4 linked regions of the Tamandua tetradactyla genome follow. The main gene of each other region encodes a partner of the protein of the gene in region 3 in a complex. Links are inferred from orthologs where the notes say so. Each region holds a gene or a part of one and is shown on either strand. Other genes may lie near its edges. The genes, in order: NUP107, NUP214, NUP205 and NUP160.

Region 1 (7,924 bases), on a different chromosome or scaffold from region 3:
ACATCATGACTATTTAAAAGCAAATGTAATAGATACTATTCCTGGCCATAAAACCAGATACTCCCTTACCCCATTCAAACAACAACAAAATAATTTAATTTTCCTACATCTATTAAATGAATAATTCTTCTTTATAATCAGAATATGGGAAAAAGGCATTTTTTTCCCTTATGCACTGTTGAGAACAAGCACAATCCTCTAAATGTTTTCTTATCCCCTTACAGTGTTATTTCTTCTAGACAACTGAGTGGAGAGGAAAAGTGATAAGAAAATTATTTCTCATCTTGGACATCTTCTATAAGCCCCTGAAATTCTCATCTGACCCTCTGTGACATATGTAGCAGTGTCAGCATCTCTTCAAATATAGCTCCCTTCACACTGGAATCTCTCAAATTGGCTTCTTGAAGATTACACCTAGACAGATCACAATTCTCTAAATCAGTTCCTGCCACAGTTGCTCCTCTAAGTTACAATTCTTCAACTATGCATTTTTTAAATGTAGTACCTCTTAGGTCAATTCCTGTCATTTGACTTCCTTCCATATTCACACTTTTCAGATTAGCACCTTCTAAATTGGCTTTAAGACCAATTCAAAATTACAGTTTCAAGGATGCCCCTTCTGCATTAGAACATAGCATCTTGAGCCCCTGGAGATTTGCACAATCAAACACTGATCCAGAGAGATCAGCTCATTCAAGATCTGCACAGCAGAGATTAGCATGTGCAAGCCTGCAACGGCTTATACTGGCCATTTTGAAGTTAATGTATTGAAGGTACAAATGAGAAAGATCAGCACCACTGAAGTTCAAACCCTGCCAAAGCAACTCTGATTTAATTGGAGTGGCTAGTAGAAATTGGACAAATTCTTTTCTGGATATTGGTGAATGATCCTCTAGTGGTTAAGAATTCTTTATTGCCACTTCAAGATGTTCAATCAATGAGTCAATAACAAAAAATCTTACTTCTTCTAATACGCCTAGTAAATTAATGTCATCATTTACAATGAGCTGTCCATGACGCAAATAGTTCACAATGGGTTCAAAGTACTCAGGACTTCAGTCAATTAAGAAACTCCTCTACAATCTTGCTTATTTCCCCAGACACCTTTGTCTTTAAACACGTGGGCCAGCATACTATAGGTTCTTCATTTACCAAAGTGCTCTGTGTAGTTGTAAACTACCGCCCTCCATTAGCCAATCTGTGTGGGATCCTGTCAGTCCTTCAGGTGGTTTAGAATCTAAGGATCAATAAATTGTTCTCCTTCACATACAAACTAAACATCATCATCCCTGATCAAAGCAATATCATCAATCAGCCCACCTTTCTCATTATACATGCTGGTGGCTGATGCCAAGTTTATTACTGGCCACAGAAAGCAAATCAAATAAAGTTCCATACAAAGCAACCACTTCTCCATTCTTGGGGCTGCTGTTAAGGAACAGGGTTACCCGCCTCATCATGCTGCCCCCTCTGGGTCCAGAGTGAGCCGCCACCTTCGCACCTTTTTCTTCTCCTGCCCTTCTCCTCCCTCCACCCACTCCAACTCTCCTCCCTTGTCACCTGCAGCCTCTTACCATGAATAAACTTTCACTAGCAAGGACATCATTGTTGACCTTGTTTAGAACTTTAGCAGTGGGGTTGAATCAGACAGCATCAGGTTGTACTGTAAATGGAAGTGGAGACAAAAAGTCAAAAAAGAATGTTCTCTTTTCCTCTCTTTTTTTAAATGACTAAATTAAACATGGTGTAGATGAATAATTTCTGATATAAAAGATGTTCATATGTGGTGAAAAAGCAGATTATAAAACAGTGTTATAGTATAATCCCACTTGTTCTAATTATCTTTGGGGGGTGGGTAGGCACGGTCCAGGAAAGGAATCTAATTATGTTTTGCTGTATAACAAGCCACCCCCAAATTTACTGGCATAAAACAATAATATATTATTATTTCTCTTGGTTCTGGGGATAAATTGGATTCAGCTGGGCAATTCATGATGCGGGTTTCTCATGGACTATAGTCAGATATAGTGAATAGGCTTATGAAAATTCTTTAATTTGTCCCTTTGCTTATTGTCTAGTTTCTTATCGTTCCATAATAGACACACATATTGGATTTATAGTAAGAAAGCCAATAATAGCTATTTAAAATGTACCAAAACAGAAGTTTGGCTGAGAAGGGATGAAGAAAGAAAAGATGGCAGATAGAAAGAAAAGCAGGTAAAAGGATGTTTTCTTTTGAAAGTGGGGTGGAGAGGGGTGGTGGTGTCAGTCATATTTTGAGGCCAAGGTAAACTCCTCTTTCACGTCAGCTGATGTGATTGACACCTACGAAGTATTTCTGCACACACACACTCAATGCGTTCAAATGTGTTGACCATGAGGAAACAATCAGACAAATCCAAACTAAAAGACATACTGTAGTACTGATCTGGCCTCTTCAAAATAGTGACTTAAAAGGGGGAAAAACGTCTGGGGACTATTATAAATTAAAATAGAACAAAGAGACACATGACAACTAACTGTATGATCCTATATTGGACTGTGGTGATTTGAAGCTATATGTACTCCAGAAAGACATGTTCTTAAATTTAATTCAACTTATATAAACTCATTTTAACTAGGACCTTTTGATGAGGCTACTTCAGTTAAGGTGTGACTCACACTCATTTAGAATGGGTCTTAATCCTTTACTGGAATCCTTTATAAGAGATTACAATTCAGATAGAGAAAAAGAAAGCCACAGAAGCAAGAAAATGAAATCCAGAAGAGAAGGGAGAAACTAGAAGATGCCACCATATGCCGCCTGCCATATGACAGAGGAACAGGGCTCGCCAGCCAGTCTTTGGGAAGAAAGCATCACCATGATGATGCCTTGATTTGGACATTCTCATGGCCTCAAACTGTAAGTTAAAACGTTCCCATTCATTGTTTAAATCCAACTCGTTTCATAGTATCTGCTTTGAGCAGCATCGGAAATGAAAACATGGATCCAGGATTGTGGAGAGGACAGGTATAAAGAACATTATTAGGACAGTTAGGGAAATTTAAATATGGTAGTTACATCATTGTTTAATGTTCTGAGTGGGGAAATTTCATTGTGACTATGTAGGAGAATGTCTCCTTGTTTTTAGGAGATGTATGCTCAAGTATTTAGGGTGAAGTGTTAAAGATGACTGCAACTAACTCTCAAAAGGTTCAAGAAAAAAGAGAGAAAACGTGAGAAATGTACTGTAGGTTTGGAACTTTTCCACATAAAAAGTAGGGGAGGGGAAAAAAAAACAGATTCTTCTACAGGGTGTGTGTGTGAGTGTGTGTGTGCTCCAGATCAAAATGTTCTGTCTTGAGTGCTTGTGGGATGGCTGCTTCCTGGCCCCCTAGTTGCCTGGAGGTATGAGTTTTCAAAGTCCTTTCTCCAACTTTTTGATAAAAATCTATGAGCTTCTGCTATGCTTCCAGTAAATTCCCTTTTGTTTAAATTAGCCATAGTGAATTTTTATCATTGCAACCAAGAACTCGAACATAAAACCAGCATGTATACAATATACACCACACAAGGAGTTTATTCCACATAGTTTTAAGGCAACCAAATGAATAAACTTTTAAATGTTTGGGGGCATCAAGATGTTCTTGCCTACTAATGAAATGTGACAAAAGTGAATCCCTGTACACTTGTTAACAAATTTACTATACTTGAATATGAACTGAACAGGTCTATTACTTTGCCCAAAGCTGCTGCTGCTTTTTCTACTGTGCTTTAAGATCAATCACTTAATGTATACCTAAAATGGAAATCAGCAAGGGTCACTGAAATAAGCGACCCAAAACACAACAAAGCAAAGAATAACTTATATCAGTAAAACCCACTGGAATTCATTTGCGGAAGGGACACACGTAAAGGCGCCACTGGTTCACACTTCGAATAAATGTGCCTCCCCACTGACAAAAATAATTTAGAACCACAGTTCACTTTCCATAAGAGAACAAGTGCACTTTTGTACAGGAAAATTAGGAGGTGGGGAACATGAGCGAGTTCCAAGATGTGATTCATCACCCGGGTTACTGAAGGAGAAAATTAATATTTCGATGATCTACCATGTGCAGTGCACATTTGCGATCTCATTTTTAATCCTCACAACTTCGTGATAGAGGTGTTTTTATCTTCATCCTGCAGAGTCCTAAAGGAATCTGCGGGCAGAGACGATCAAACCTCGATCGGGGCACACCAAAATCACCTTTATTCAACACGCTGTGTTGCCTCAGGGTAGATAAGGTTATGACGAGGCCTTTCTGGGAACGAAGGTTCCCAGAATTTGAGCGGAATGTAAATGCCTAAAGCAAAACTTCAACTGATCTCTTTGGAGCCAAAATAGACACTACTTTTTGCCGAGGCGGCGCTTTGAAATAGAGAGCAACCCATCGCCTTTCACGCTGCTTTTCGACTTTTTAGAACAGCTGATCCTTTTCCTCTTAATGGGAAAAAAAAATCAAGTGAAGGACAAATAGCAATTACTGAGAACAGTTTCAAAATCTGTAGGGGGTTATATCACCAATTCAAACCAGGTGAGTGCAGTGATTGAGTCAGGGACCCTGTAGGTGTAGGCAGAGCCAGCACGTCAGGATTCCAAGTCCAGACATCTTCTAACCAAGAATACAAGAAAATTATTCACATTTTTCAATATTAGCAGTCTACGTCGCCAAGCTTCCAGTACCTTAGCTCAGCGCGGAGACAAACACCACTGAGGAAAAGCGAAGACATACGTCACGGCCAAACGGGTCACGGCCAAACAGGTCAAGACCCACCTCCTGCCCACCCCCCGCCCCCGGCCCAGACCCCGCCCCCAGCCCAACCGGGCCCTGCTGGGCGCGGTCACACACGGACATCCGTTCGCGCCTGCGCCGATCAGGCCGGCACCGGCGCCTACGGGAGGAAAGGGTTGCGCATGCGCCCGATAGTAAAGTCATGGGCTTTTTTGCGCTTTTTGTTTGTTTCCTTTCTTCTCCCCCATCTCTTTTCACTAACGGGAGTTCAGTCGGGAGTGCTTCCGGGTTGAAGGGTTTGCTTCCGGAACGCGGGAAGGCAGAAACGCGGTAGCTCATTTAGATCCGAATTGCAACCTAAGTTGGTTAAGAAGGCCATAGCCATGGACAGGTCAGTTCTGGTGGTGACAGCTTAACCCGGGAACTTGTCCCTATTGCCTGCTGGTGGAACGGAATAGGTGAAACCCGACTTACAGAGGAAGCCAAAGAGGTCTTGTGTGCTCTCTCTAGATTCCTTTCACTGGCTGGGAGCTGATGTAAGAAAGGCTGCTTGGCTGGGATGAGGGGTGGAGCATACAGATAATGATAATCGCCTGCGTTCCTACGGTGACTCTGTGATCTATCTATTCTGCGCTTCCACACATTTTTCGCTTCTAGGGTGGGCAGGCTAAGTGGTGGCTCTGGATTAGAGATGCTCAGTGACTGCTTGAGATCACAAAGCCAGTGACGGAACCGGAATCCAAATTCAGACTTTTGGTTCCTGGCAGTAGCCAACAATTGAGTGTCAACTGTGTGATTGCCACTGTGCTAAACATTTAAGCATATTATTAGCTAATTTAGTCTTTATAACAGCGGAGAGAATAGGCAGTCTCATCCTCTCTTCATAGATGAGAACATTGTGTGAAGTTAAAAGAGATAAACTTGAGTCAAAGTTAGGAAGTTAATGAGCAGAACTGAGTTCCCTTGATGAGTGAATAGGTGTTCATCGGGTAGACAAGGGGATAAATGTAGGTCTCTGTAAAAGGAGCAGCATGTATAAAGGTGTGAGGGTGTGAAAGTACATGCATTGTGTAGATAAATGGTCATATGTAGTATATATTTGTATGGCAGTGATGTTTATGACTGAATGTAAGGCCAAACCTGTAAGCTGGGATCAGGTTGTGAATACCAGGCAAAGGAATTTAGACTTGATTCTATAAGCTGGAGGGAGCTAAGTTTGTTAAGGTAGGTCAGACTTGAGGGTTTTAAGTGGAAGAAAAGCAAATTAGATTTGTGTTTTAGAACACAGATCTCTGAATCCATGCAGTTTAGTTTCTAGACCTTTGGATGAGAACAACAGGGGAACTCTGGAGCATTATAAGTACAACATTGGTAAGACAGGAGACAGGGTACCTTGGGGTTGTTTCTCCCAATTTATGGGCATTCGTTTTTATTTAACCTCCCATCTCACAAGCTCAAACATCTCTACTAACCGACTTTTCCATAGTACCCATGGAAGTATTTTGGAGACTACAGAAGATCCTTTAAGATGAGTTTCTCCATCCTGTAGGGGAAAGAACATTTTCCTTCATTAACACTTATAAAATCTTGACCTACCTTAACAAACTTAAGTGCTTTTCTACAGTTGTGATGTAAATGTTCATTCACATGAGCTTGATTGTACTACTTAGGAGTGACTTTGGAGAGATGTCATCCCCTGTGATCCGGGAGGCAGAAGTGACACGGACTGCACGGAAGCAGAGTGCTCAAAAAAGAGTTTTAAGTATCCTTTGCATTTTAGACATCATTATAAAAATTGCAAGATATTTGGAATTTCAGTTATGGAATTTTATTTTTATGAGCAGTATTAACACTAGTTATTAAATATTGTAGCATATAATGCTACATGATAATATAGTAAGTTTTATGTTTCCCTGAAAATGTGTTCCATTTTACTGCTGACTATCATATTGTGGTTAGGTTCTGCTGACATGGTTCCTTTTTTTATTTGAACTTAGACTAAGAACTCTTCATTCACTATATAGTAATTTAAGACTGACAACTTAGAGTTTCATTGACAGAGGAATTTGTTATGTATTGACTGCATAAAAAATAGTTGCTATGAACTGCACTGTTCTTGAAAAAAATGTATTCACATATTTTGTGTAATATAAATATGCTTAATCCTAACTTGATCTCTTTTCTGCATGGAAAATTTTCTTTAACTCTTCTAACAGTTCGAGCATCCCAAGATGAAAATTTAGCTAATACTACACCAAGAAACCAGGTTATCCCTCGAACTCCCAGCTCATTTCGACCGCATTGTAAGATTTTTTTTTTGCTTTTAAAACATCTAATAATAGCACTAATAATAGTGCTAACATTTGTTGTACATGTAATAAATATATTTGGTTGTAATATCAATAATTAATAATAATAATAGTAGTGATTACAGCTACTATTTATTGAATTCTTACCACATGCAAGTTATACTTTGTATAAACACATGGTAGCTGTGATGTAGATATTTTCAATATTTACATTTTTTCAAAATTAAAAGTGAGATTTAGAGATGTTAAATAACTTGGTTAAGTATGTAAGTAATGTAACCAAATTCAAAAGTGGTCTGCTTACTCCAAAACTCATGCTCTCTACACTATACTTCTTTCTTAGTAAGCTTTATAAAATTAGAATATTAAGAATTCATTAACTCATTATTGTTGTGTTTTTTTTTTATTCTTCAGTTATTTTATAATGAAAGCATCTCTATTTGTGGTAAAAACCAAACACTCAAAGTTAGCGGAGCAAAGTTAAATCTCCCAGTCAAGAAAATGTTAACATTTAAAGTATTTATTTGTTTAGACTTTAAAGAACTAAAAACAGAAAATTACTTATGCTGGATTGTTTGTTAGCTTGTTTTTCTTAATCTCTTATTTGTAGTTACTCCCCTGAACCGAAGCTTACTAAGGCAGCCAGATACTTCCGGCATTCTTGGAACAGGAGGAAGGTCGCCCAGGCTTACACAGTCTTCGGGGTTCTTGGGAAATCTGTCCATGGTATGTAGGAGAATGGGGCTGAAATCTTCCCCCTTTTTATGAAGGTATAAAATTCAACTGAAAAACCTTTTCTTTTAATAAGAATTGTCATCGTATTCATCATAAATCAAAATAACTCTGGGTTATATGGA
Region 2 (7,090 bases), on a different chromosome or scaffold from region 3:
TGTGTGCAGGGGAAGGTAAAGTCAGAAGTCTGGAGTCTCATCCTGCCTCTGCCTTGGACTACTTGTGTGATTCTGAGAACTCATGGCACCACTTTGCACCTCAGTTTTCTACTCTGGAAAACAGAGTAGCAGTGCCTTTCACACAGCTGCTGCCCTGAGCTTCCATGAGGATCCTGCTGGAGAACAGCTGGGAGGGCATTCTGTTGAGGACTCCACAGACTTGGGGGCTGGGATGATCTTTTCCTGGATTGGGGAAGGAGTCCTAATCTTCTTTTGTTTTGTTTTGTTTTCCTCATCCTCCAAACCAGAGTCATGATGTTTGAAGGAAAAGCCAATGAGAGCAGCCCCAAACCAGTTGGTCCCCCTCCAGAGAGAGACATTGCCAGTCTGCCCTGAGGACCCCTGCTGGACCTGGACCTGCCCCTGCCCTTTCCAGCTGCCTCACCCCCTGCCCCTCCCTCTGGAGCTCCCTGGCCTTCTTGACTCATTGTGATTTGTCTTGTTTGTTTGGTCATTGTGGGTTGGTTGGTTGTTTTCTTTGTGGGACAGAATCAGTGATCTTTTTGTAAAGCACAAATTATCTCCCTTAAAGAGGCTGTAGATGGGGGGGGTGGGGGTGGTCCTGAGCCTTCTGTTCTCTCCCTCTTTTCTCTCCTCCTTTTCCCCTCCTTGTGCAGAAGGGCTGACATTCAACCAAAAATTGCAGGGGATGGGAACAGGGCAGGGAGGCTGGGAGGCTTTGTTCCCCTCCTTTGGAGCTGGCACTGTCTTTCCTTCCAAGTCTCTGAGCCAACCCCAGACTTGTTGGCCTGGCACAGGTGGGGATCCCAGTTCACTTTCAGAAGGCCTAATTCCACCTTTAAGGGAGGATGCTGAGTAAGTCAGGAAAATGAACAATAAAATACTCATGGTAAAAAGTCTGCCCTACCGCTAAGCCAAGAGCTGAGAAATAGAAGATTGCCTTTCTGATCTCAGTCTGCTTAAAACTTGGCTGAACTTCCTCCGTTTGCCTTCCTACCTTACTACACCATTTAGTCAACAGATACTTGTCAACAACCATTATAAGCTCCAAGTCTTCCCATTTTATCCTGACATGTGCTGTGTCTGCTGTGTAACTAATTTCTCCTTTTCCCAATCACCCAAAACTTTGAACCTGGAGATTGGGTTGGGGCATCTGTGTTCTTTATTAGACTCACAGGATTTAAGAGCCCAATCCACCTTGCAGGTTAGCTAAGCCAATCCTCTTGTTTCATAGGTGAGAAAATTGGCAGTCCATAAGGACAAAGTGCCTTGCCCCAGGACAGAGAGTTAATTTGGAGATGGAAAAGTCCAAACTAGAGGCAAGGTCTCATGATCCCCCTGGCCCATGCCTCGTGTCTTCTCAGGACTGCCTCAAGGATGAAAACAAGGAAAGAGGCAGGTAGGGGCGGTCTCCTAGGTCAACACTTGGGTAAAGCTTCTCTCTTCTGAAGGTCCTCTGTGAGGATTAACCCTCCCCAGCCTCAGAGTTTGAGTCAGTGTCACAGTCTGCATTAAGACCAGGCCTACCTCTGCAGTTCTGCATTCTGCAGAGCTTCTGCCAAGTCTTGGAGACACTTTCCTGTCACACTTGACCCCTTTTGGACTGAGCAGAGGCTTCAGCCTTTACCCCTCCCTGTGCAGGGCTTAGACATACTCATTCATTTAACATATTTATTAAGCACCTGCTATGGGCCAAGAACTGAGACTCCAGAAATGAAACAGGACAGACCCATGGAATTTAGAGTCAGATACAGATGATGATGAATGTTAGGAAAGGGGGTGGAACATAGAGGGATGACTGCCTGTAATTCTGGGGTACCTAGACTTGGCCCAAGACTGAGCTACCGTCTGGAGAAGCCTTTGCAAAGCCTTAAGTGGAAAGATCTGGGGGCTGTTGGAGGTTGGGCTCCTTGCACGCTCCTCAGTAACGAATAATCAAGGCTCCAAGGTGCTGCCTCTACACCTTGAGGGGGTAAAGCACCTAGAAGTTGGAAAATGGCCCAGTTGGATTAGTCTGCTGGTCTCAACCAGTTCAGGAGTAAGACTACTTGGACATGACTGGCTGATCTTCAGCCTAAGAAGCTGCTTCAAATGCACAGGCCTAGTTGAAGATTAAACCTCAGCAAAACATTCAACCCTGTATATGTTAAATCCTACTCCCTCCATCCCGCTGGCCTTTTTTGTTTTTTTTTTTTTGCTCCCTAAGATCATTAGGTTAGCAACTGCCTGTCCTCACCTCTTCCCACTACCTCTCTCTGGGACAGGTTGGGACCTCTGAACAAAGTAAAGCCTTCCTTGACTACCCATCACATTCAGTGTTCCTGTTTTACTCAGAGAGGAAGACAGAAATAACTTGGCTTATTTCGGTGGGTTCCATAGCTTGCAAGAAGACAGCAGGAAGACTTGTGAAAGGAGTGCAAGCAAAAGCGTGTCCTGGCTTCTGGAAAGGGCAGGAAAGAAAGTGTCCTTATTGGATAGGGGATATGCTGGGAAATCTCATCAGTTCTTTTACCACTTTTTTGAACTCAACCTCTGGGGGTAGAGGGTCTTGAGAGTGGTCCCTGGGAGAGGGGGTCTGTATGTATTCCAGATTGTGGCTGTCAGCTCCAGGACTCTTACTTCTCTTGGTAAGGGCTCATCTTGAAACCTCAGCTGTTTTATTTCTAAAAGACCAAATCTAATTGTAATGTAACCAATAACTAGGGGATGGCCAATATGGTTTTGTCCCTATGACAAAAGGAAGGAGTTTGTCAGGTAAATTCAAGCGGATGAAGTATGTGTGCATGTGAGTGTGTGTGGTGTGGGAATATCTGCTCTACAGATTGGGAATAAACCAGACAAACTTATCAGCGTCCTGACTGGTGTATTTTGGGGGCAGTTCCTGTGCTCTGCAAAGTCAGAAGAGCTACCTGATATAGAATGACATATAGAATAGTATGGAATGAATGTGTCCTATGTGCCCGGCTTTGTTAAGCTCTGAATTTCATTTACTTCTCCCAACAATGCCATTAGATAGGTTCTTGTTATCCTTGATTTACATATGAGAAGAAGGCTTGGAGCAAAACAAACAAAAAACAGGTGGCAGAACACTTCCTGGGGAGTGTGGGCTCCAAGTTAAGAATCCCTGTCCTAGAGCATTTGTAATTCCACTACAAAAATTTCTTCTATATCTATGTAAATGATTATCAGCATATCCAGATAATCTGAATTCTAATCCTGCCGCCACCATTTTCTGACTGAGGGTCACTAGGGAATTTTCTTAACTTCTGTGTTTCAGTTACCTAATCAGTTAAATGGAATCAATAATCCCTGGGGGTGAGGATGTTTTAAGGATTAACATCCCTAGGGATGAGATAACTTTTCTAAGGTGTTCTGCACAAAGCTCCGAACAAATTTTGTGACCAGGGGTGGATATGGCTCTTGTTCTTAAAATGATTACCTTCAAAGGAGTAAACAAGGCTGGCATATGGTCCCTTTAACCGCCCCATCCAGCCTTCATCCCTAGATACAAAATGGTCTCGGGTGGCGAGGTCCTGTCCCACCCACTTTCTGAACTTCTCTCTGCCTTCGCCCCCAAAGTTTCTCATGAGCTGGAAATGAAGTTCCTAACTGACTTCTGCATCGGAAACAATATCCGCCTACATCCAAGGGTTACCGGGAAGTTTCAAATGAACGATGAGAGAAGGACACTTAGACGTAAGCAACCCACAGAGAAAGCAGCGCGCTCGGCCGGGACTCCAAGCTCCAGGCCGCGAGGCGCGGGTCCCGAGGCCACGCCCCGTACTCGAGCCGCCCAATGGGAGGCATCGGCCCCGAGAGCGCGCGCGACTTCGGGTGTTCCTCAGTCTTGTTAAGGCACGTCGCGAACCGGGGTGCGTGACATCATCAAAACGCGCCGGAAATGCGGAATCCTCTGCGCGCCTCTACCGCTGAGGGAAGGAGTTTAGTCTCGGAGCGTCCTAGGCTCTTGGCGTAAGGCCGCGGGCGGCCTGGGTGGCTGCTTGGACAAACTGAGTGCGGCGCGATGGGAGACGAGATGGATGCGATGATCCCCGAGCGGGAGATGAAGGTCAGAGGCTGTCCGGGGGCTCCCTCCCTTACTCAGTCCTGGCGTTGCCCTGGAGTCCCGCGGAACGGCCGGGTGCCCCGCCTCCTTCTTGAACGTTTTACCGTGTTCAGAGTTCTCATCAGCGGGTCCCGGGGCACGGTGCCGCGTTGCTGGCGTGGTAGTCCCATTGAATGCAGTTTCACGTCCCTGGTTGGTCTTGTTCACGCCTCTTGAATTATGTTGGCTACTTTCATGTAGTAGTCACAGTAGTGGTAACTACTACTCATTAAGCGTTTACTGTGTGCTAGGCACCGTGTAACCATTGTCTCCCTGATTGGTCACAGTATTCCTACGAAATAATTGGTAATATACCCATTTTACAGAGTAGCATATTGAGGTTTGGAAAGTAACTTGCCCAAAGTCGCATTTGACCAGGGGGCTGAAATCCATGTTTATTTTTCTTCATTCTTCATTTGCTACTTCTATAGGGTGGTCCAGACTTGCCTAGCACATAGCTAGGGAATATCACCTAACCTATGGAACTTTTAGTTAACTGGAATAGGAGGACTACTTTGGCACCAGAAATCAGCTTAGTCAGAAAAGTGGGGAAGAACAAGTGGTCCAGATGATGGTAAAGGAATCCCCAGGGATAACCACCAGGATGATATTTCTTAAAAACGTTCTGACAGAATGAAGGTACAGAAAACGAGCTACTTTCTTTTAAATAAGAAACAACTAAAAAGGAGTAAGCTGCAATAAGATTTCAGGCGTTTGTGTGAACAACAAATCATTGAAATGCATTTAAGGGATAGTAGTTTCATATACTTGAGCAGTGATTTCTTCTTTTCCCTTTTGAGAATCACTCTTGTAGTGAGCTACCCTGGAATAATGTTCCTATTCCTCAAATATGGTGGGAAAGAAGAACAGTTTCAGAACAACTGCCTTATGAGATTATAGTTTCCTTTTGAGTTACTTATTACAACAGAAAAGAGAGCTTCTGTGCCTCTTCATCCCACTGGCCCACTATACCCATGTGACCAACACCCAAATGTATTTGACATTATCACGAGAATTACAATAAAGCCTAATAATTTTATTCTGCTTTATTCTATGAATATGATCTCACTTGGAAAGTTGTGTGAATTTCTAATCACTCAGTTGAAATTAGAGAAGAGTATTTCAATTGATCTTTCAGCAAATATGTATTAAATATCTAATCCAAGGTAATTAGTATATGGGGTGCAATAGTGATCCTGTATGAAACGAACAATCTAGTTTTTCTTTTTCTTGAAGGTAAGTTTAGAATTGAAGGGGAAAATTAACCATATAGAATACAATTTAACATAGTGACTGGTATACCTTGGTAGTGCACTTGTGTCATGAGGTGAGGCTGCTGAGGTGGACTGGACAAGCGATATCTAGCCTTGTAGATTGTGTTGAGGATTTTGGACTTGTGTTTTATATGTTCTTCTAGCATCTTGGTTTTGCTTAAAGATCTTGAACTCTAAGTAAGCCAATTCTTGGGATTTGGTCCTCTTTCTGTGGTTATTTTAATATGTGTTTGAGGATTACTGCAGTAGAAGTTAGCACTTATACTGTAGTTGGGTGATGCTTTCGACATTTCACAAATTATTAAGCACTGTTCTGGGTCATGAAATGATACATACATAACGCAAAATAGGGCAAGATTATAAACAAAATGCAGTTTTGCAGTGATTTTGACAGTAAATATAGTAGGAATCAGGAAAAAGAAAAGTTCAACGTGAGCCAGATTAGTCAAGGAAGTCTTCATGAAAGATTTTTTTTTGTTTGCATATTTTCATTTATTTCATTCAACATATAGTACATACTTACTATGCCAGCCACTATGATAAGAGTAGGAAGTTTAAAGACTGCTGAGACACAGTCCTTGGCGTCACAGGATTATATATTTTTGTTGTACTGGAAATTAGGTCTGTTGGCATATATTGACAGTCATGATGTAATTTCCTTTTTGCCCTGAATTGGTCTTGTTTTTATCCTTTGCAATAGGATTTTCAGTTTAGAGCACTGAAGAAAGTGAGAATCTTTGACTCTCCTGAGGAGTTGCCCAAGGGGCGCTCCAGTCTGCTTGCTGTGTCCAATAAGTATGGTCTGGTCTTTGCTGGTGGAGCCAGTGGATTGCAGATTTTTCCTACTAAAAATCTTCTTATTCAAAATAAACCTGGAGATGATCCCAATAAAATTGGTAAGTTACCTGATTTATGTTGCATAATAGAGGAGTGTTGTATAGTGCTAATGTAGTTTCCTTCTCAAGAAATCATTCCAATATTGAAGTTAAACTGCTGTTTTAGTCCTAAAGTTGATTCCCAAGAAGAATAAATTCCAGGTGGGATTCTGAAAAGCTTTTCTAGGTATTCTCTTTGGTCCTTTGTATTTCTCTTCTGTTGAGTAGTTCCTTCAAGCTTAGAGGGAAGAAGAACTTTCCATTATGCTATGCTTTTATTTTAAGATGGTTTGGCTTTCTAGAAGGGTTTTGTCTGTGGCTTTTCAGTTGATACAACAGTACTGTTCAAACAAATGGGAATGTGTAGTATTTGGGAGCATTGTTGCAAAAATGCAGGCACAAGACTTTGTTTTCAGCAAAGAGTAACAACCAAAGTCAGTTTCCCTAGGTTGAATGAGGAAGAGTCCCTGGAATACTTAATGTGTCATTTTACCTCTGTATGAAAGTTAAGTTTTATCTACATAATTAAGTATCAGGTAGGGGTGTGTGTGTGTGTGTGTTTGCGTATGTGTGTTTATTTAGAGGCAAAATTATTTCACATAGAGGATAAAGGAGTTGTCGCTCAATGCTTAAAATATTCCATTTTCTGTTTTGTCTTCTTTTTATGTTTTCATAGTTGATAAAGTCCAAAGTTTGCTAGTTCCTATGAAATTCCCTATACATCACCTGGCCCTGAGCTGTGATAACCTCACACTCTCCGTGTGTATGATGTCCAGTGAATATGGTTCCATTATCGCTTTTTTTGATGTTCGCAC
Region 3 (8,075 bases):
TTCTGCACAACTTAAGCATCACTTCCTCTTCTCTGCCCTCATTCTAATTTCTGATGTCCTGTGTTCTAGATATTAACACCATGAATTTGCTAATTATATGAAGGACATACAATATTTCACTCAACATAATGTCCTTCAGGTTCATCAATGTGACATGACTTTATTTCTTCTTACAGCTGCATAATATTCCATTATATGTACACCACCTTTCGTTTATCCATTCGTCAGTTGATGGACAATTGGGTTGTTTCCATTTTTTTGAAACTGTAAATAATGCCACTATGACCATTGGTGTTCAAGTGTCTTTTCAATTCCCTGCTTTTAGTTCTTCTGAGAATATACCTAGAAGTGGATTGCTGGATCATATGGCAGTTCTATACTTAGCTTCCTGAGGAATCTATAAACTCTTCCACAGCAATTGTGCCATTCTTCATTTCTACCAACAGTGAGTAAGTGTTCCTATTTCTCCACATCCTTTCCAATATTTGAAGTTTCCTTTTCAATTTTTTTTTAAATAGTGGCCATTCTTGTAGGTGTGAATGATATCTTATTGTAGTTTTGATTTGAATTTCCCTATTAGCTAGTGAGATTGAACTTCTTTTCATGTGCTTTTTAGCCATTTGTATATCCTCTTTGGAAAAATGTCTATTTGTGTCTTTTGCCCATTTTTTAATTGGGTTGTCTTTTTACCATTGAGTTGCAGGATCTTTTTGTATATCCTGGATATAAAAGCCCTTTTCTGATATGTGATTTCCAAATATCTTCTCCCATTGTGTAGGCTGCGTTTTCACCTTTTGACAAAGTCTTTTGAAGCACAAAGGTATTCAATTCTGAGTCCTTTATTTATCTATTTTTCTTTTCTTCATTTGCTTGGGATGTAAGGTCTAAGAAATCACCTCTTACCATAATATCTTGAAGAAGCTTCCATACATTTTCTTCTAGGAGTTTTATGGGTTTGGCTTTTATATTTATGTCTTTGATCCATTTTTAGTTAATTTTTGTATAAAGTGTAAGATAGGGGTCCTCTTTCGTTCTTTCAGATATGGAAATCCAGTTCTTCCAGCACCATTTGTTGAATAGACTGTGCTGTCCCAGTTGGGTGGACTTGGCAACCTTGTGAAAAATCGATTGACCCAGGGATGAGTCTGGTCCTGGCACCGTGGGATCAGTAATGCCATCCAGAAAAGGGGGAAAAGAAGTGGAATAAATGAGATATCTGTGGCTGAGAGAGTTCCAATAGAGTTGATAGGCTACTCTGGATGTCACTGTTATGCAAGCTTCATTTAGATATTGCTACCCACCATACCTTACCAAACCAAAACTATTCCGGCCAATCCTAAAGAACACCTAGGGTGTTATATAAGATACTACAAAGGCCCCATGCACTAGGGTAACTTTTCGAGACCTACAATCTCCAGATGGTCCCTGGACCAGATAAATCCTGAAACACAGAGGGGCCAGCCTCTCCAAAGCATCATCTCGTTCCATCCCCCTAACCCATATTATTGACAGCCCCTTACAACATGAAAAAGTTAGAATGAGCATAACGCAAATACCCATAAAGAGTGGGAGAAAGATTAAAGGCAATGGTGGAGTTATACAGAGAAGGTAGGGTTTAACAAAAGAGTATGATTGCTGAGGGGCCAATCTCTCCAGAACACCAGCTAGTTTTATCTCCTTATCCCATATTATCGATACCCTATTCCAACATGAAAAAGTTAGAATGGGCATAGCCCCAATACCCCTCAAGAATGGGAGAAGAATCAAAGGCTATGGTAGAGGTATACAGAGAAGGTAGGGTTTAACAAAAGAGTGCAATTGCTGAATCATTACGTTGACATTTCCAGTATCTTAGAGCGGCTAGAAGTAAAAACCTAAAATTGTGGAATCGTAACCCACACCAGATTCTGAAATCTGTTCTACAACTAATTGTTGTGCTATGTTTGACATTTATTTCTTTTTTGTATATATGTTATTTTTCACAAAAAAGAAAAAAAATACTTCTAGCCTCCAGTCTTTTGGAGCAACTACAAGGAAAAATCTGAAATAGTGGAATGGTAATCCATAACAAAGTCTGAAATCTGTTCTGTAACTACTTGTTGAAGTGTACTTTGAAAAAAAAAGTCAATTGGCCATGATACATGTATTTATTTCTGAGCTCTCTTCTATTCCATTGATAAATATGTCTATCCTTATGCCATTGAACTTTTTTTATTACTGTGAAAAAATCAATTCATGTTAGATCTTAAGGTTTATTTCTAAACTCTCAAATCAATTCCATTGGTCAATGTCTATCTTTATGCCAATACCATGCTATTTTATCACTTTATAAAGCTTTGCAAAGTGCTTTAAGTTGGGAAATGAGAGTACTCCAACTTCATTTTTCATCTCAAGGGGTAAGGGGCTCCTTACCCTTTCAAATAAATTTGGGAGTTAGATTTTCCAATTCTATATGTAGGACTTTGGAATTCTGATTGGAGTTGCATTGTGTCTGTAAGTCAATTTGGGTGGAATCTTAACAATATTTAGTTTTCCAAATCCATGAACATCTATTTAGATCTTTGATTTCTTTTAGCAATGCTTTGTAGTTTTTTGAATACTTATCTTGTACATCCTTGTTTATTTCTAGATATTTGATTCTTTTGGTTGCCATTGTAAATTGATTTTTCCCCCTATTTTTCTCCTCAGATTGTTCATTACTAGTGTATAGAGCACTACTGATTTTTTCATGTTAATCTTATATCCCTTGCTGAACTAATTTATTAGGTCTGGTAGCTTTGTTGTAGATTTTTGGGGACGTTCTAGGTATAGCATCATATATTCTACAAATAGTGAAAATTTTATTTCCTCATTTCCAATTTAGATGCCTTTTATTTCTTTTTCTTGACTAATTTCTCTAGTTAGAACTTCGAGTACAATATTGAATAACAGTGGTGACAGTAGACATGCTTATCTTTTTCTTGATCTTAGTGGGAAAGCTTTCAATCTTTCACTATTGAGTATGACATTAGCTGTGGGCATTTCAAATGTGCCCTTTATCATGTTAAGAGAGTTTTCTTCTATTCCTATTTTTCAAAGTGTTTTTATGAAGAAGGGATTCTGGTTTTTTGTCAAACACTTTTAGTGCATCAATCAATACGATCATGTGGTTCTTCTTCAATTTTTAAATGTTATTTATTACATTGATTAATTTTCTTGTGTTGAACCACCCTTACACACCTGAGATAAAGCTCTCTTTATCATGGTGTATAATTATTATAATGTGCAATTGGATTTGAATTGCAAGTATTTTGTTGAGGATTTTTGCACCCATGTCATTAGGGAGAATGGTCTGTAATTTTCCTTCTTATTTTTTTTTTTTATCTGGCTTTGATATTAGGATGGTATTGCTTCCATAGTATGAGTTAGGTAGCATTCCCTCCTCCTTCAGTTATCTACGAGTTTGAGTAAGACTCCAACTGATTTTTGACATGTGTGCTATTTCCACTCAGTCAGGAAAGAATGATCTCTTCCACAAATGGTAATGGGGAAATGGGATATCCATGTGTAAAGAATGAAAACTGGATATCTACATTCAAAAATTAGCTCAAAATGTATCACAGATATAAATATGCTAACCAAAACTATAAAACAGTAGGAGAAAACATAGGGAAGCATCTTCAGGACCTTGTGTTAGGCAGTGGTATCTTAGTCTTTACCTGAAAGGAATGAGCAACAAAAGAAAATATAGATAAATTGGAATTCATCAAAATTAATTTTTTGCGGTATCAAAGAATTTTTTCATGACAGTGAAAAGACAACCTAGAGAATGCAAGAAAATACTTGAAAATCACATATCTGCTAAGGGCTTAATATGCAGTATATATAAAGAAATCCTACAATTCAATAACAAAAACACAATCCAGTTAAAAACTGGGCAAAAGATTTTTATTGCTATTTCTCCAAAGATGATATACAAATGGCTGGTAAGCACAAGAAAATATGGTCAACATCATTAGCCATTAGGGGAATGCAAATCTAAACCACAATGAGATACCATTTCATTCCCAGTATATTGGCAACATTGGTGACATTGTAATAGGGTGCAGTCTCTGTGGAGGATAGTTTGGCAGTTCCTTAGAAAGTTAAGTGTGAATTAGCATATGACCTGACAATTCCAGTTCTAGGTATAGACCCAAAAGAACTGGAAGGGGGGGACTCAAATGGTATTTGTACACCCCTATTCATAGCGGCATTATTCACAATTGCCAAAAGATGGAAGTAACCCTAGGGTCCATCAATTTAAGAATGGACAAACAAAATGTGCTATATGTGTACAATGGAACCTTGTTCAGCCATAAAAAGGGATGAAGTTCTTATACATGTTACAAAGTGGATGAATGTTGAAAACATCATATTTAGTGAAAAAAGCCAGATTCAATATAAAAAAAATTGTACGAGCTCACTTATATATAAACTATGAACTATAGTTAATTGTATAATTATAATAATATTGTTTCATCAAGTTTAACAGAATGCCACACTAATGCTAAGTCTTAATTATAGAGAAAACTATGTGTGCATGAGGGGCAGGAGTGGGTTGTGTATGGAACTGTAGTTTTTGCATTTTTCTGTAAACCTACAACCTCTCTAGTAAAAAAAGTTATGATTTGTTTCACTCCATGCAATTATGTTGATGCAGTATACTTTGTATATTGAAATGTGCTGAAAATCCTGTTTGTAACAGGTCAAATGACTTTTAGAAGTATTGAAACCTCATACCCAACTCCACGTCCCAAGGTAACGGAGCTATGCAAAGAAGATTTAACATAAAATTTAGATAATTTTATTTGATTTCATGGATTTTATAATATCATAAATATGCGTTATTTCAACAACTTGTCTTTGGAAACCTTTTCTTCCAGTGTACATAACGCACTTGACGCATCATTAGGAAGAAATTACAGGTCCCAGGATGCACTGCACGAATACGTCAAGTTGAGGACCTTGCATTTCCGACGTGGTTGCCTTTGCCCTATGTGAATGGGAACAATTCCGGTGAAAAATTGCTGCTTGTGGCTCAAAGCATATTTTTCAGTTTTTCATACTCCCGCGTAAGCCCAGCGCGCTGTTTAGAGATGGCAGTGCGGGGCCTTTATTTTCAGGCGCCTCGTCGGGCAGCCTCACCCTTTCTGGGGCCTCCGAGCGACAGGAGGGCTTCGTTAGTGCGCCTCCAAGATGGCGACGCTGTTGGCGGTAAATTCGGGTAAGTGTGGCCGGGGTAGAAGGAAAACGGAGAGGCAGGGCGGTGATCGTTTGTTTGTGGAATAACCTGGGCTATGAGGTTCCTTGGTATCCAGACATCCCACTTGTACTCGGTGTATATTTTTCCCTAGCTCTAGGCCTAGGGGCCCGCCCCTCCTGTTTGAATGGCGCGCGTAGGCGCTGCGGCTCTATCCTTTGGGTTGGGGTTTGAGGGTCGGGGCAATGAGAAGTGGTACCTAGGAACAGTGTTGCAATCTCACGGCCCAGGACCGCCTGGGTCCTCCCATCCCCACTTATATTCCCACGTCGTGAGGTGCCTGTGGCCCGGATTTCGCCATAATATATGTCGAGTCTTCAACAGTGAGGTCAGAGGACCCGGGATAGTTTTCAGTCACCAGCGGAGGCTGAGCAAATTCGAATCTCCAATCTATAAAGAAGTACCGGAGTTCCCAGGCGAAGGTGCCTAGGCAATGGTTGTCGCGGGCTCAGCAGATGATTCCGAGATCCGCGGCTGTGATCCGACAGTAGATGTTCAGTACTTTTGGGACAGTAGGTCTTCGGGGCTAAAGTAGATGGCGGTAATGCAGATTGTAAGAGGTGGAAAAAGAACGCTAGGTGATTTGGGATGGGGCCTCTTTTGGTGATTCTCGACCCGGGGCGGTGCCACCCCACAAGGGCGTTTTAAAGAGGGGGTGCATTTTGACTGTCACAATTCCTGGGTTGCTTTACTGGCATTTAGTGGGCGGGTCAAGGATGCTTCAAGTCTCGCACCGGGCAGGACTGTTATGGAAACGAGTTTCCTGCACAGAATGTCAGTAACACCCGGGTTGAGCCGCACTTAGCTTTATTGTGCACAGTTTAAGAGAATGTTTGCGTGAAAAATCCTTGTGCAGAATCTCACCGAAAAGGACTCCTTCGTGGGCACCTTTTCTTTCTGTCTCTGTACACTTTTTTTTAATGGTTTATTCTGCTTTCACAAACTGTTATTCCTGAAAGGTTGTCTAAATCTAAGTTGCAAATCAAACTATTTAAGAAATACTGACACGTTATTTTGTAATAATGAAGGCTTATATTTATTGAGCACTTTTGTCCCAGGCAGTGGAATAAATATTGTACTTGCACTAGTTCACTTAATGCAAGTATAATCCCTTTTGTACTTGTGAGGTAGCTGCTAATAAATGCCCCAATTGGAAATAGAAATTTAGAGCAGTAACTCCCACAAGATTGTGTAACTAATGATCCTAAACCAATCTTACCTGCTTAAATAACTGCGTACTACTAATTATAACCGGATTCATTTTATTAATCCAATTTTCATACATTTCAATGTTAATAATGAACTTAGCTCCTTAATATTGCTGTCCCTTCCCTCAACTTGATATAACCTTTTTTTCCCTCTGTTACTATTTTAATGCAATTTTATTGAGATATGTTCACACACCACACACTCCATCTGAAGTATACAATCGTCATTGTATCTTACTTTTTTTTTTTAAAATATTTTTACTGAGATAGCTTCACACACCATACAGTCCACAAATGTAAACTTAAAAGTAAGGCTTGTATGTTATGTATGTGATTAGAAACATTTTTTGAGTAAGTACTTATCCCAAGTTAGTATCACTATATCCAAATCATTGAAGCAAAAGTAAAAAAGGAAAAGAAGTTGCTAACAGCTGCAAAGAGTATACATTGTATAATAAAGCCTTGCCCTCTCTCTTCTCTCAAAAGACAAGCCACTACTCACTGACTTTTTTTCTTCAACCCACGAGGGTTCTGTTCTGTTTTCCTAAGTTAAAATTAACATGCTCTTCCATTTCACTAAATCCAGCAGACATTTTCAAGCTCCATCTTGACCAAAATCATGGCCTGAGAGACTGAATAGTGTGGCAGTTGCCTGTTTTGCTAAACCTTTGTTTTCTGCACTCCAGCTCTCTTCTCCTGAGACCTTTTCAGTTCAGTGCAGTGTTCCCTGTTGTCGTGGAACCCACACATTCTGGCTTCCAGAAATGCATGTCCTCAGATCCCATCCCTCAGTTAACTTCCACTTTTATCCTTGGAATTTCAGGCTACTCATTGCTCGTCAAGGAAGCTTTCCCTTCTCTGACCTTCCTGACTAGATCAAATCCTGATTTCAGACTACTCATTGCTCCTCAAGGAAACTTTCCCTTCTCCGACCTTCCTGACTAGATCAAATCCTGTTAAGTGATCTCATGCCCTGGATACCTCTACTTCATAGCACTTGCCACAGCTGAATTTTGCAATTATATGTGATTATATAATTAATGTGTTTTCTCACTAGATTTGAAAGCTTACAGTATTTAATACATGATGAATGAGTGAATAAATGGTAACTTGTTGGAAGGCTCTCTCAAAACTTAAGGAAAATAAATGTATTTCTAAAATGAGCAAATCACTTATGTTAAAAACATATCTTTGGTGGCTCACTGGTAGAATGCTTGCCTTTCATGTGGGAGACCTGGGTTTGATTCCTGAACCATGCACCCAAAACAAACAAACAAACAAACAAACAAACAAACAAAACCACATCTTCATGGGGAAACTGTATAAGGTGGAGGATATATGGAAACTGTATTACGTATTCAATTTTTCTGTAACTCTAAAACTGTTCCAAAAAATAAAGTCTATTAATAAAAGATAAAACCCCCCACATCTTCGGTAATCTGAAAAAGTATATAGCCTCCTTTCATTTGTAGTCAATAACAGATATTGACTAAAATTAGCCAAGTTGAAGATAAAACTGAAGATATAACTTAGTTATAGCTGGCTTCTATGATGTGTTAGTATTATGGTGGAGTAAAGAGTATATG
Region 4 (7,069 bases), on a different chromosome or scaffold from region 3:
AGCTACCATTGGATTTTTCCATTTTCTTTAGAGCAATACTCATTCAAATAGTCACGACCCTCTTCTCTACTTCTCTTCTGAACCCACTCCGCTCAGGCATCTGCCCCACCAGTCTACTGGAGCAGTTTCTGCCAAGGCTACCAATGACTTCCACAAGGCAAAGGTCAATTTTCATTTCTCATCCTACCCAAATCAAATGTGGTGTTTGACAATTTTTTTGCTCTCCTCCTTGAAACACTTTCCTTAAGATTATGAGACAACACTCTTTCACCTCACTGGCTATTCCTCCTCAGTCTTCTTCACTAGTTCCCCATTCCTGAATGCTGGAGTGCCCTGGGGCTCAGTCCTCATACTTCTCTTCCCTCATCTACACAAGTGACACTCAGCTGGGATAATTTTCCTCCCTTCCCTCCCCACCAAGGACATTTAGCAATATCTGGGGACAATGCTGCTACACCGGGGGCGAAAGCAGGAAGAAGCTTGGCGGCCCGCAGCGGTCAAAGGCTGGGGAGGCTGCTCAGTATCCTGCGGCATCCCCTCTGACAAGGAATGACCTGGCCCCAAGTGCTGACCGTGCTGGGATGAGAAACCTCAGGTGATCTCATTCAATATACAACAAGCTTAGATGCCATTTCATGCCAACGATCCCCCAAACTGTATCTTCCACCCATCCTGTCCACTGAGCGCCTGACTACTGTCTGAAGATCTCCACTTGGAAAGACATAGCAAACTAAACTCACCCAAAACCGAATTCCTGCATATCAAGCTCAAAAAACCAAAAATATCTGTTTTTCTGCACTATTTCCCATCTGAGTTAATGGCATCTCACAACTTCCAAATGTTCAAGCCAAAAATCTTGGGGTCACCCTTAACTCTTCTCTTTCCATATACTCTACATCTGATTCATTAGTAAATTGTAATAAATTCACCTGGAAAGCATATCCACAATCAGACCATTTCTCACTACTTCCATCCTTTCCCCACTACATTCTATTGCTAATACAGTGGCCACAGTGATCAAGGTTTTAAAACACAACTTAGATCATGTCATTCTTTACTTAAAATGCTCTAATGGCTTCTTCCCATCTCATCCAGAGTAAAAAGCCTAAGACTTAAATAAGTGACAAAGCTCTGATCTGGCCCTGGGATATCTCTCTCATTGTTCTACTATTCATTCAGACTCCTGACACCCTGCTATTCTTCTGAACACGACAAGCTCCCTTCTCACAGTTCTTTGCATTTTTTTGTTTCTTCTGAGAATACTCTACCTGAAATGCTCCTCCCTTGGTATCCTCACTTTCTCTGCTCAAATAGTCTACCGACTTCTGAGTTCTGCCTTACCATTCTATGTAAAACAGTAATTCCTGTAAGCATTTCCCTTTCCTCTTGACTTGCTTCCTTGTTCTCTATTCCATTTACTGTCACCTGACAAGTTCATTTACTTTTTTTGTTGTTGTTGTTTTTTTACCTGTCTCCCTCCATGAGTGTGGAGAATTTTTGTCTGTTCTGTTACCCCTATATTCCCAGTTCCTAACTGTAGACTGGAACATAGCAGGCACGCAAAAATATTTCTTAAATAAACGAATTCATATTTCTAATACAGGTCTCTCTTCTGAGTCTCAAGTCTGTAAATTCCAATACCTACCAGATATTTCCAAGGGCTGCAGCACTGGTACCTCAACTTTAGTATGTCCAAAAGAATTTCTCTCCAAACAAGTCTCTGTATCTCAGTAAATGACACTCCCACCCCTCACTTCCTGTTAGTCACATCAGAACACCTGGGTTTTTGTCTCTGTTCCCTCCTTTTCCCTTACCCCTCCCAACTCCATATTCAATTTGTCACCAAGTCTGAGTAAATCTAACTTCTAAATGTATCTGGAATCCATTTATTCTGTTTTCTAGCCACTACCACAATCTGAACCACAGCATCTCTTCCTTGGACCATTGTAAAAGGAAAGTGTTCTTGTGTAACAGTCCCACTCAATCCAAGTTCATTTTCCAGACATTGAGACCAACTGCTTAAAAATGCAAATCTGATTGTGTTAAAAACTCTTTAAAAACACTTTTTTAATGACTGCTCGATGTACTTAGGATAAAATCCAAAATCCTTAGAATGGCCTGACATATAGAAGTTCAACAAGTGTTCGAAAAATGAAGGAAGCTGTCAAGTGCTATGAAAACAATGGAACAAGTAAGCTTTCCTTATTGAGAAGCAGAAAGTCCTTGTGAAAGTGTGGAAGGCACAGAAACATAGTTAGCTAAATTAAAAAAAATAAAGCGTTGCTCGATTATAAAAAGAAATAAAACACCACCACAGTAAGTTCATGCTTAAATCCTGGTCTTCAGGGATTTATCCCTAAGCTCCATTCCCTCTGCTTTAGACTGGGGTGGGGATGGGATTTCACGCCTAGAATTCTGGGCCACTCTAATTTTTCTCCTGATTCGGAAATGAATTGCAAACAGTCTTTCTACTTTGCCAGATGTCGATTACTGCTTCGCAGAATGACGGAAGAGCCAGGAAAATCCAAACTCCGAATAACCGTACCTTCTAGAAGGGTGGACGAGACAACACTTACCAATGAATGAATCTGTTTCTAGTGATGGAGAATAACTTGCCGCTTTCCACATAGTAGAAACCTCCCGCGCTCTCGCTGAATTTCACCGCTCCCGCCACGGCATTTACGGTCCCTGGAAAAGGAGGGTGGTCAGTGCGCACACGAGGTTCTCGGGGGATGACAGGGGCTAAGTGCGCCGAGGGAGCACAGAGTGACGGGCTGACAATCCACACAAAGGGAAGGGAAAAGGAGGAAGAAGCCGGACACTGGGGAAGATCCGATCCAAGGGCCAGCAGAATGTGGACTGAGAAGATGAACCCGGCGAGGTGGACAGAGACCCGGGGAACCGTCGGAAGGCCGCGCGCTCTCTGGGACCGCTTCCGTACCAACGCTGCAGACCGTAAATTCCCGAAAATGCCTCTGCCTCTCGCGCTCAGCTCCCACTATCTCCACGAAGCTCCGTTCCAGGGCTCCCGCCGCCGCCATCTTCCCGCGCCGCCGCGAGGCCCGACGGGACACGGCAGGGCCAGGTGGTCTGCGTACTTCCGGGGTGGGGCTAGCGGGGCTGCCGGCAGAGGCGAGGGCCGCCCGCCGCTTCCTTGAAGGCTTCCACAGAGTTGCCAGGAGACTGCAAGGTGGGCAGAGAGGAAGCGCCTCTGTCTGCAGGAACCAACGAGTGGCCGGCTAAGGTGCCTCAGGCGGGCTTCGCCCTTTTCCCGGCGGCCTTAGCGCGCTGCGAGGCGGGGCCTCGCGGGCGCGGTCCTGTGCGTGGTCTGGCGCCCTCTGCGGGTCTAGCGCCCTCAGCCGGTCGGGCGGCCGCCGCCTCCGTAGGTCTGTCAGTCTCCCTTCGCCTGTCAGGGCGGTATTGGAGGTGACAAGGGACCTTCTGTGTTGTATTGGATTTTCTCACGCGACTGTGTTCGTTTTTTCTTGAATAATGACACTCGATGTGTTAAATGAGAAGTTGGTGCCGCGACCTGCTCAAGTTTCGTTACGGAACCCCCAAAAGAGGAGCCGGGCTCTCGTCCCGGCTGTCGAAGCCGTGGGCCCGATTCTGGGCAGAGCGCCGTCTGGGTGCCGAGGACCATGCGCGTTTTCAAGGCGGGAGTTTCTTTCTTCACGAAGCCGGGCTTTGCTAAGGTTTCCGCGACCCTCGCCTGCCGTTCTGTGTGGCATCCGCCATCACTCAGCGAGGCAGCCCCTGAACCGCCTGCCCTCCGTGGCTGCCTCCTCCTTTTCACCGTCCTGCGTTTCCCTGAAAGTTTCTTGCGCCTGCTTAAATTCCATTAGGTTACCCCCTGGCTCGCTCTGTTCACGATGCTTTAGTTGAAAACCTACAACTTCGATGAAATCCAAATCTGCCTTTGACCAGGGCTGGAGAAAAAGTAGACGCCCTTAGGACGTGCCTCGCTCTGACTGCGTGAGGCGCCTCGTGTTCCGTGTCCGCTATTTCCTCAGCGTCCTGGAGGAGTATTTCATAGCTCTCTAACCCCAGCACCTCTTCCCTGGCCTCGCTTAGAAGGTGGACGCAAACGGGAATTCCCGGAGGGTTCTTCCCCGCTGCCGCATCTCCCCACCGGGCCGCACCTGCGCTCGTGGGGCTGCCTTGCCCGTCCTGCTGCTGCAGGTGGAATCTGGTGAGACACTCTCGCTGCCTTTCACTGCATCGCCACGTGCCTGCGGTCCTTCCTCTCTCCTACCGCTTGGTTTTTCCCTTTTCACTGGATTGGTCCTTTATGCATGCAAACTTGCCGTTATTCCCCCCCCCCCCCCCATAAAGAAAGCCCTTATTCGTCTCATTCTTTTCAGCTTCGACTGCACATCTCCGCTGCTCCCTGCATTTACAGCAAAGTTCAAGAGCGTTCTATCCAATTCCTGTCTTCCTGTTCTCGCTTAAACCTGCTTTTTTAAGGCTTTGGCTGTTACTGCTCTCTGAAACTGCATTTTGGAAGATCATCAGAGACATTCACGTTATATATCTATAATGGAATTCTCATTTCTAAACTTTACTTGACCACCTGCAGTATTTGACCAATTGACTGCTCCTTCCTCCTGGAAATACTTTCTTCACTTGGCTTTTAGGACACCCCATTATCTTGGTTTCCTCCTGCTTCACCAACTTTTCTTTTTTAGACTTTTTTTTTTGCTAGTTTCTCCTCTTCTCCTAACCTCTTAATTTTGGAGTACCCAGAACTCTGTTTTTTTTTTTTTTCTTGCATTTTTTTTATTGTGAAGTATAACATATACAGAAAAGTGATAAATTTCAAAGTTTAGAGTAAGTTTCAAAGTGTGGTGTGGGTTACAGTTCCACAATTTCAGATATCCCCTTCTAGCTTTTCTAATACACTAGAAACTAACAAGAAACATCAGTATAGTGATTCAGTAGTCACAGTGATTTGCAGATACTATCTTCTCTGTTACAAATCCTCCCTCTCATTTGATCCTTTTCCCAATCTTCAGGGATATTTGGGCAAGGACTGTTTCTAACTACTTTGCATTGAAGAGAGATGTGCTGGTTTGAATCTGTGGTGTACCCCAGAAAAGCCTTTAATCCTCATTCAATATTGCTGGCTGGGAGCTTTTTTATTGTTCTCATGGAGATGTGACTCACCCAATTGTGGGTATTAATTTTTTGGTTAGAGAGAGATGTGACTCCACCCATTCCAGGTGGGCCTTGACTGAAATCTTTTAAAAGAGGAAACATTTTGGAGAGACTCCCTTTTAGAGCAACGAAAATAATGAGAGCCAGAGTTCACGCTGCCATTTGGAGATGAAGAAGGAATATATCCCTGGGGGGAGCTTCATGAAACAAGAAGGCTGAAGAGAAAGCTAGCAGAGGGCACCATGTTTGCCACGTGCCTTTCCAGTTGACAGAGAAACCCTGAACTTCACCAGCCTTTCTTGAGTGAAGGTAACCACTTGTTGGTACCATTATTTGCACATTTTTATAGACTTGCTTTAATTGGGACATTTTCATGGACTTAGAACTGTAAACTAGCAGCTTATTAAATTCCCCTTTTTAAAAGCCATTCTGTTTTTGGTATATTGCATTCTGGCAGCTAGCAAACTAGAAAAAGTGCCAACAGAGATGTGTAGAGAAGCCGTATGAAACCAGGACTCAGACACTTGAAGAAAAGAAATCTTTGGCCCCAGACGATACTAAATTATGACATGAAACCCATAGTTTTGCCCCAGAGAAGCTAAGTGAGGGACACACAGATGCTTGGAGAGAAAGCCGCTGGAATCAGAAGATGGAAGCAATGAAACAAGAGCAAGGACCTTGGATGCCTGCCACATGCATTCCCACTGATGCAGGACAGATATCAACCTTTCTTCAGAGTTGAGGTATCTTTCTCTGGATGCCTTAGGTTGGACATTTTTAAGGCCTTAGAACTGTGAACTTGTAACTTAATAAATCCCCTTAGAAGTCAGTCTATTTCTGGTATATTGCATTCCGGCAGCTTTAGCAATCTAGAACAAACTCTTAGGCATATTTATAGGTAGGCTTAGCCTCTCATTACAGATAAAAGTTTCATAAGAAAAAGCCTCAAGATCAAGGGCTTGACCTATGACTTGGGAGTCCCTAATATTTGAGATAGTATCAGGTGTTTCCCAGATAAGGAAGTTTAACAGTTCCATATTTTTTCTCCAGTCCCTCTAGGGATTTTGCCACTACTTTTCGGCTATTTACCCAACATACTCTGGAATGTATTAGGGTACTACTTTAAGCTATACAGAATTACAAGATTGCATTGCCACTTCTAGGGTCCATATGTTTAGGTTGTTTAAATGAACTGGCCAAACAGGTTAAGTTAGATTGTGTGCTACATAAAATTTAAGTTGTGGACAAAATAAGCATCTCTTCCTTTGGTCAGATACAGTAGGTGGAGTTTTAAAATATAGCAATATCATTGTCATGGTTAGGGACAGGTGTCAACTTGGCCAAGTTGTGGTTCATCTGATTGGGCAAGCACTGGCCTGCCTGTTGCAATGAGGACATTTCATAGGATTAGGTCATGATCACGTCAGCTACATCCACAGCTGATTCCATTTGTAATCAGCCAAAGGGGAGTGTCTTCTGCAATTAGTGATGCTAAATCCAATCATGGGAAGCCTTTTAAGGAGGACTCAGAGGAGACAGGTGGCATTCCTGCTTTGGCTGGTGAGCCTCTCCTGTGGAGTTCATCCAGGCCATCCATTGGAGTCATCGGCTTCGCAGCCTGCCCTGTGGATTTTGGACTCTGCATTCCTACGGTCACGTGAGACACTTTCATAAATTTTATATTTGCAAGTGTTCCCTGTTGATTCTGTTTCTCTAGAGAACCCTAACTAATACATCTTGGTACCAGGAGTGGTTCTTAAGGAACAGAATCTTAAAAATGGGTTTTTATGAATGGTTTTCTACTCTGACTGGGCTCAGAGACACTAAGGACTCTGATTCCCGTAATCAGAATGACACACCCAATCCATGGACTGAGTTGGCAAAGGAGATAGTCAAAATATCATCATTCGAT

Evidence for each region.
Region 1: the proteins of NUP205 (region 3) and NUP107 are in contact, whole or in part, in a cryo-EM structure (PDB 7WB4), measured with the Xenopus laevis proteins. The link is inferred for Tamandua tetradactyla from reciprocal best matches to the Homo sapiens genes NUP205 and NUP107. Residues at the interface, in XP_041443600.1 of Xenopus laevis: Gly1247, Gln1248, Arg1249, Pro1250, Ser1458, Arg1506, Gln1507, Leu1983, His1991, Gln1995; in NP_001091312.1 of Xenopus laevis: Gln134, Glu136, Pro189, Tyr282, Tyr283, Gln770, Ser772, Phe773, Thr774.
Region 2: NUP205 (region 3) and NUP214 share a complex: the UniProt entries of both Homo sapiens proteins name them as parts of the nuclear pore complex. The link is inferred for Tamandua tetradactyla from reciprocal best matches to the Homo sapiens genes NUP205 and NUP214.
Region 4: NUP205 (region 3) and NUP160 share a complex: the UniProt entries of both Homo sapiens proteins name them as parts of the nuclear pore complex. The link is inferred for Tamandua tetradactyla from reciprocal best matches to the Homo sapiens genes NUP205 and NUP160.

Annotation. Positions count from the first base shown.
Region 1 is NC_135333.1:136,833,973-136,841,896, forward strand, and holds the start of NUP107 (nuclear pore complex protein Nup107), read left to right. Parts: upstream 1-4,883; 5' UTR 4,884-5,141; coding exon 5,142-5,149; intron 5,150-6,428; coding exon 6,429-6,520; intron 6,521-6,974; coding exon 6,975-7,061; intron 7,062-7,677; coding exon 7,678-7,793; intron 7,794-7,924. UniProt on the Homo sapiens protein: Plays a role in the nuclear pore complex (NPC) assembly and/or maintenance. Required for the assembly of peripheral proteins into the NPC. May anchor NUP62 to the NPC. Involved in nephrogenesis.
Region 2 is NC_135328.1:54,076,251-54,083,340, forward strand, and holds the start of NUP214 (nuclear pore complex protein Nup214), read left to right. Parts: upstream 1-3,891; 5' UTR 3,892-4,045; coding exon 4,046-4,090; intron 4,091-6,100; coding exon 6,101-6,296; intron 6,297-6,951; coding exon 6,952-7,090. Other genes in the region: AIF1L (allograft inflammatory factor 1-like), read left to right, coding at 309-396. UniProt on the Homo sapiens protein: Part of the nuclear pore complex. Has a critical role in nucleocytoplasmic transport.
Region 3 is NC_135327.1:178,269,800-178,277,874, forward strand, and holds the start of NUP205 (nuclear pore complex protein Nup205), read left to right. Parts: upstream 1-4,993; 5' UTR 4,994-5,217; coding exon 5,218-5,245; intron 5,246-8,075. UniProt on the Homo sapiens protein: Plays a role in the nuclear pore complex (NPC) assembly and/or maintenance. May anchor NUP62 and other nucleoporins, but not NUP153 and TPR, to the NPC.
Region 4 is NC_135334.1:124,602,938-124,610,006, forward strand, and holds the start of NUP160 (nuclear pore complex protein Nup160), read right to left. Parts: upstream 3,085-7,069; 5' UTR 3,042-3,084; coding exon 2,942-3,041; intron 2,689-2,941; coding exon 2,577-2,688; intron 1-2,576. UniProt on the Homo sapiens protein: Functions as a component of the nuclear pore complex (NPC). Involved in poly(A)+ RNA transport.